Kluyveromyces lactis: one gene and its partner. The protein of the gene in region 1 purifies or fractionates together with the protein of each later gene. This does not show direct contact. Links are inferred from orthologs where the notes say so. Each region holds a gene or a part of one and is shown in the gene's direction. Other genes may lie near its edges.

Region 1 (3,938 bases):
TCATATTTTAACCATTCCTGTGTGCCTAACGTGGAGAAAAAGAGGGTCGAAAGAGTCTTTCAATACATTCTACAAACTGATGTGCAGAAGGGAGAAGAGCTCTGTATTGATTACAAGGGTATATTACACCTTGACGTCAACCGGAGAAGGGCAATATTGAAGGATAATTGGTTTTTTGAATGCAAATGTAGTAGATGCCTCTCAGAGTTGTAAACAATCCATCAATGCGTCCTCAAGTGCTGACTTGCTCACACTTAAATTCGAAAGTTCACTACTAGACTCTTGATTATTGGCTAAGTTGTCCGTCTTATCCAATTTATGATTCATTATTCTTGATGCCTGTAAATTTTGGAGAATGTTGTTGTCAACGGAATTTCGTGACTCTGATGAGGACCGGGTATTAGATGTAACGTCTATTTGGTTCGATAAAACTTTTAGTTGATTTTGAAATAAAGTATAACTCCGTTTTTTGAGAAAGGGTTCTGGTGCACCTAAATCAGCCCCCAATTCCTGCCAATCCATATCCTCTAACGAGTCAATTTTTGAGATTTTGGTCCATAGAATCTTATCTCGACGAGAATCCCAAATAAATGGTTTTGTTTCGACAAAATTTTCAGGTCGTTTACCTGCCACTCTTACGTACACTTTTGTGTTGTCATTATTCATTGTAAATACACCTCACACTGTGGATTTTATAGAATCACCAAATTTCTTCCTATACCACAGAATCTAGATTAGAACAATTTAAAGTAACATTTGCTATTAAATTCGATTAGGAACTTGCGGTGAATGTTGTTCAACTAGATCTCACTTTCATCTCGGACAACTCCAGTATACGAGAATCACTTTAGCTAAAATATGATTATTCATTACGTATCAGAATGATCACAATATCCGGGTAATCATGAATACTAATATACCCAACTATAATCAAGTTTAGCCCAACTTTGCAGGATTGCTCATCGCTATTTCTCATCTGAAGTTTGGTCACAGTATATCACCCATTAATCAAGGATATTACTTTTATACCATTCACATCGTTTACATCAGAAGATATAACTGTGCTACATTAAGGTGACTGTAATCTGATATGATGATTACTTGCAGATGAGTGATATTTTTGGTTCTTTAGACTCCAGCTTAGACTCCAATGAAATCAACATACAGATTAATAATTCAGACAGCTATCAATGCTTCCCAACTCTATTGGATTGTAAAACTAGTAAGAGCCTTCCTGGACTTCGATTTGTTCAGGTGCCAGTACTAAGGTTCTATGGATGTTTATCTACCGGACACAAAGTTCTAATTCATTGCCATGGCATTTTCCCTTACATATTCATCAAATATGACGGACATTCGAATGATAAAGCATCAGTAATACGGAATAGATGTACCAGTTTGCACAAAATACTTGAGACACGGATGATTGAAACTTTTACCAAAACAGATTTTAAAGAGAAGCTAACTTCCCTGAAATACATTGCTAATGTGTCCGTTGTCAAAGGCGTTCCATTTTACGGATACCACGTAGGATATGAACCTTACTATAAAATTACTCTTTTGAATGGTTCATATAGTAATAAACTCTCTGAATTACTTAGAGATGGCAGAATATTCACCTCAAAAGTGGATGTCTTTGAGGCTCATATACCTTATTTATTGCAAATGATGGCTGACTATAACTTATTTGGTTGCGGATGGTTAAAACTATCCAAATGCTATTTTCGGCAACCTGTTCTGTTAACTGATCTAGATATGAATGAAATATTGCACACGGACTCTTTGGAACGTTTTTTGAAAAAACACTTGCATCCGAATCAAAATGTTTTAGACATAGATCCATTTCATCGAATTGGAAAGACCTTTCTTGAAATGGATATTATTCCACAGTTCATTTTAAACAGAGAAGAAATTCAATTCAGGGATTTACACCATGATTTTGTTGAGCTTAAGAAAGACCTTCAAACATCAGATCAAGGATATGTTAATTCTACAAAAGATATATGGAAAGAGATACAACTGCTTAGGAAAAGGAAAGGGCTTGCTGAATATGAAGGATTAAAAGAAATATTTCGAGAATCTCAATTACAATATAATTGGAAAGAAGATGAAAGGTTGGTGAAACACTTTGATGAAGCTAAGAAACGAATGTCTTCCCTTTTTAACAAAGAAAAAGCTTTAAATTTTGACAACTTTGTGGATCCTTTCATTAATGAGAATTTTTTTGCAAGTACCAAAGACGCCCTTCAAGAATTATGGCCCAAAATACCAAGGAATGCTAGTAGTAAAGTATTCTGTTGGTCAGAAGTAGAATTCAAATTGAACAACCAATATACTTCTGTTCGTGAACAAAAAGTAGCGTCTACAAACACTAAAAATATTCCCATTTTGCTAAATATTTCCTCCAATGAATCGCACTCTTCACATGTCAGTTCCAAACGTGCGGAGGAATCTTCATGTCATGACGATATTGCTAATGAAGCAATTGCTAGGAAACTGGCAAAACGAAAAACATCTGCTATTAGAAAGTCAACATTTCGCCCGATGATCAGACCTAGCGTAACACACGCTAACATCAAGGAGAGTTTATCTGCTAACCAAATTGAAGAAGTTCAGTATAACGATCCATTTTTCTCCAATCCACTTGATTGTAAAAGGCTACAAACGGAAATGGCTGGTCGAGTGTTCAAGCTATCAAGTGATCATATCCTCTTTAAAAGAAGCATCCGTAGTAACGATACAACAGCAACATTAACTTCTTCAGGAAGTGTATATGCAAGAAGCAGATGGAAATATATAAGACCAAAGCCGTCTTTTAAAAGAATAGCCAATGCGATGAAGCCTTTCAAAGGTAAATTCTCGATGGTGGAGGGGAAAACACCAGAACTACCATTCGGATACAAGTTCAAGAGCAATAAAATAGAAAAAAATAATAACGCTTCTAATAGAATGACCCATTTCACCATGGAAATTCACGTCAATACTCGTGAAGATAAGTTTCCAGATCCTAAATATGATGCTGTCAGGATGATATTTTGGAAAGTGCAAGATGGAACTTTTCCATTCGACCTGGATATTACTCAAGAAGGTGTTTTGATATTTCTAGACGATGTCTCGACAGAAAATTCATGGAAAACTGCCGATCCTAGTGTTCATATAACTGCTTATTACGATGAATTGGAAATGATATATGCATTAGAAGATTTAGTGAGGTTTTTCGATCCTGATATCTTGTCAGGATACGAAATACACTCTTCCTCGTGGGGCTACTTGATTGATAGATGTCACAAGGGACATGATTATGATGTGGAAGATGAACTCTCTCGAGTCGATTATAACCAGAGTAGCAAAAAAAAAGACAGATGGGGTTACACTCACGCAACAGCATTTTCGATAACGGGAAGACAAATGCTAAACATATGGAGGCCTCTCCGCTCTTCTTTGAATCTTCTCGATTATACATTAGAAAATATTGCATTTCATGTTTTACACCAACGGTTACCTTTTTATTCGTACAAAACCAGGACAGAGTTCTATGAATCTATGGACGAAACTTCAAAAAGGTGTCTCCTATTTTACTGGATCACAAGACTTCGAGTAAATTTCAAGCTTTTAGAGACTCAGAATATAATTGGAAAAACCATCGAGCAAGCAAGACTTATCGGGATTGACTTTTATTCTGTCCTTTACCGTGGCTCACAATACAAGGTTGAATCCTTTTTAATTAGACTTTGCAAATCAGAACAATTCATTCTGATTTCTCCAAGCCGAATGCAGGTCCGTAACCAAAAAGCACTCGAATGTATACCACTTGTGATGGAACCTTCATCTGCCTTTTACAAGAGTCCTTTATTAGTTTTAGACTTTCAATCATTATACCCATCCATTGTTATGGCATATAATTATTGTTACAGCACTATTATCGGAAGAGTTGAATC
Region 2 (3,441 bases), on another chromosome or scaffold:
TCAGTTGCATTACACATACTTGTACGGTATATATGTGTGCATGTGTGGGGGGTGGGTGGAAAGGCACAAAGCAAGGTAGCTTTTTTTTTTTTTGATTTGATTCCTGAGATGTTTGTATGTTCTAAACCATATAATTTTTCAAGTGAAATACTTCTAAGTTTATCCGAAGAAACGAAAATACAAATTATGCATATATAAATAATTGTAACTTTTTAGTTTCAACCCTATTGCTGCTCCAATCTTGCTTGCAATATGCTTTATTCCCTCAATTGGGTTCATAATTGGGAAATTTGAACAAGCGAAATCCACACTATCAATTAACCTCATCAGACACAGATATGTCATTCCAAAGTTTCATCAAGACTCCAACTGAAGACACCGTCGTTCCACAAGCTCCTCCAACGGAACAGTACCCACAAGGTGTCAATTACCTCAATTTGTTCAGTCAAAAGGGCAAATTGACCGTTATTACTGGTGGTGCTGGTGCCATTGGTGGCGCTCTATGTGAGGGTTTCGCTTCTTGTGGTTCAGATGTCATTATTTTGGACAGAACCTTCCAACCAGAACTTTCCGTCCATTTGAGCAAGACTTACGGGATTGAATCCAAGTCATACCAAGTAGATATTACCAACGCTGACGACGTTAAATTTGTCTTTGAAAGAATCTTGGAAGATTTCCCAGGTCGTGCAATTAACACATTCATTGCTAACGCAGGTATTGCCTGGACTAACGGTTCTATCTTGAACGATGGTTCCACCCCAGAAATGTGGCGCAGAGTCATGGACGTTAACGTCCAAGGTACTTACCACTGTAGCAGGTACGCTGCTGAAGTATTCAAGAACCAAGGCCACGGTAATTTGATCTTGACTGCTTCTATGTCTAGTTACATCAGTAACGTTCCAAACTACCAAACCTGTTACAACGCTTCTAAAGCTGCAGTAAGACACATGGCCAAGGGTTTCGCCGTCGAATTCTCTGGTTTGACCTCTCCAGCTGGTAAGATCAGATGTAACTCTGTATCACCAGGTTACACTGATACTCTGCTATCCTCCTTCGTTCCTACTGAACAACGTGCTCACTGGTGGGGTCTAACACCAGTGGGTCGTGAAGCTTTGCCACAAGAATTGGTCGGTGCTTACTTATACTTGGCTTCCGATGCTGCTTCTTACACCAACGGTTGTGATATCCAAGTTGACGGTGGTTATACCTGTGTTTGAATCCTGTTGTAGAAAAAGCTTCGTCAACACCTATTACTGATAATTGTCACTGCCTTTTCCCCTACATCATGCTCAAAATATTTCTGTTTAACCTAACTACATTAAAAATAGAGTTAAAACTAGAGTGGTTCCTTCTCTTTCACATACTATGTAATAATTTTATATACCCAATTCTTATATGGGGTGATCATTAGTATCATACATCGACCCTTTCACTACTATTGCGAAGCTTCCCCCCATTGAGCCTTAATGTCTAATTGTCAACACTTTGTTACGCGTAAACGGTGCTAACCAAAAAAAAAAAAGACGCAACTTCACTCAATCATCATTTAGTGCTATCTGCACAGAGCGATGAGAATTGAAGAGAGAGAATAATAAAAAGAGCAAGCAAGCTCGAGCTGATCATCATCGAAATATGGTAACAGCGATAGAGAATTTTATCACGCAGAAACTCATCAATGACTGTAAACCTGTAACATTTTTAGACTTGTGCGATGAGTTTTCGATAAATGTGAACAAAGCAAAGAATGAGATGGTACAGTACTATAGCACTACGAGACATGAGTCGATCCAATGCATTGTAGTATGTGTTTTGAAGCACAATGTAATACAAATGATTACGGATCCCGAGAAACTACCGGAAAAGGAAGACATAAAGGATTTCTTCATCTATGCGTTCAACCCACTGGAAACTATTGATTTGACAAATAGAGAAAGAACACACGTTACGATCAAGAACCCCTACAAGCTGCACAATCAAAATGGCACACGGCCCCAGACAAGCGATGGTATTGGAAGTGTAATTAACATAACCACCCAAGATGTGACTCAAAAAATGGTGGCCGGCCCCAAGAAAAAGTCTGAGGCAGAACCGGTCGTAACGAAGCAACGGGCAAAGACGTTCCCAGAAGTTGCTGTTACAAAACCTAAGAAACCAACTAAGAGTATGGGTCTAAAATCTACTGAACTTCTGGCCAGAATGAGAAGAGAAAGAGAGGAGAAGGAGAAGAACAGACAAGAGGAATTGGAAAGGAGGAAGCACCAGCAGCAGGATAAAAATCACGTCGTGGTAAGCCAAGAGAAACAAAAACAATTGGACCAACTGGCCTCGATGTTTGACGATGATGATGACGATGATTTAGCCCAATTCGATAAAAATTCTAAAAAGCGTGATAAGAAAGAGGAAAGCGAAGAAGAGGCTGAAGTAAACCACCCTGTAGCGATAGAATCAGTACCTTCACAAGAATCACAACCAGTAAATCTAGACCGCACTGTCACAAACTTAGAAGAACTACTTGACACGACGGTAGACGAATCCTTAATGGAACTATCTCAACCAGAAAAGGAAAAGGAAAAGGAAAAAGAAGAGCCAGTCCACGAATCGAAAGAACAGACCACATATATAGACGAAGATGGATACATGGTTACTAAGAGACCAGCTACAGAAACGAAGAAACCACCAAAGCCTGTGAAATCAGCGAAAACGGCAGAACCGTCAAAGAAACCAGCAACACCAGTCGAGAAAAAGAAGGCTCGCTCCAGTCAACGTACACTTGAGAGTTTTTTCGGTAAGAAAAAGGGATGAGTAAATTAACTTGTGTATTTATTCAAATAGTTTCAAATAGATTCGGATGATACAGACGATACAAACGCTGGCACTGGCACTGACACCTAGATAGAAATATACGGCGACTCACGTGACCCAAAACAAAACATTAACACGTGAATAAGTTACCCGAATACACCGTACGCAACGATGTGAACAGGCCACCACGTCCCCTTCTTTGTGCGATTTCTTCTATCAGAGAAAAGGGGTGGTTAATATCGTTTCAAACGATTTATCTTGCCCTTTCTATTGAGATTGAAATTTAAGAATTTTGGATTAACAAAGATTATAAGACAGAGGAAATGATTAACTACCACATTGCCAGACAGCTTGTACGGCAATAAATTAATTGGTGTTTCATTATACTTTATTAAAGAGTGAGTTCACAAAAGTTAGATCGCTATAGCTTTAGACTGGGTTTTGAAGATTATTGCTCAATCACTTATCGCCCGTTGAAAATCTTTCCTTTTTATTTTGGACCGATATTCCAAATTACTCTTTCAATTGAATATTATCATCGCATTTTAAGAGTCCAAACGTTTTAAAGTTACTTCTGAAACTGGTTTTTTAATTATCCTTTAAGAAAGTTTTCAGACCTCAACGCACTATAGATCGTAC

Evidence for each region.
Region 2: the proteins of REV3 (region 1) and POL32 purify together in Saccharomyces cerevisiae (affinity purification with western blotting; 3 studies listed by BioGRID, with this or other methods). This does not show direct contact. The link is inferred for Kluyveromyces lactis from reciprocal best matches to the Saccharomyces cerevisiae genes REV3 and POL32.

What each region holds. Positions count from the first base shown.
Region 1 is NC_006039.1:855,133-859,070, reverse strand, and holds the start of REV3 (DNA-directed DNA polymerase), read left to right. Parts: upstream 1-1,107; coding exon 1,108-3,938. Other genes in the region: SET6 (Set6p), read left to right, coding at 1-213; ATG29 (Atg29p), read right to left, coding at 202-666. UniProt on the Saccharomyces cerevisiae protein: Nonessential DNA polymerase. Required for DNA damage induced mutagenesis. Involved in DNA repair, mitochondrial DNA repair and translesion synthesis.
Region 2 is NC_006041.1:1,996,555-1,999,995, forward strand, and holds POL32 (DNA polymerase delta subunit POL32), read left to right. Parts: upstream 1-1,632; coding exon 1,633-2,802; downstream 2,803-3,441. Other genes in the region: KLLA0_E22397g (uncharacterized protein), read left to right, coding at 339-1,217. UniProt on the Saccharomyces cerevisiae protein: DNA polymerase delta (DNA polymerase III) participates in chromosomal DNA replication.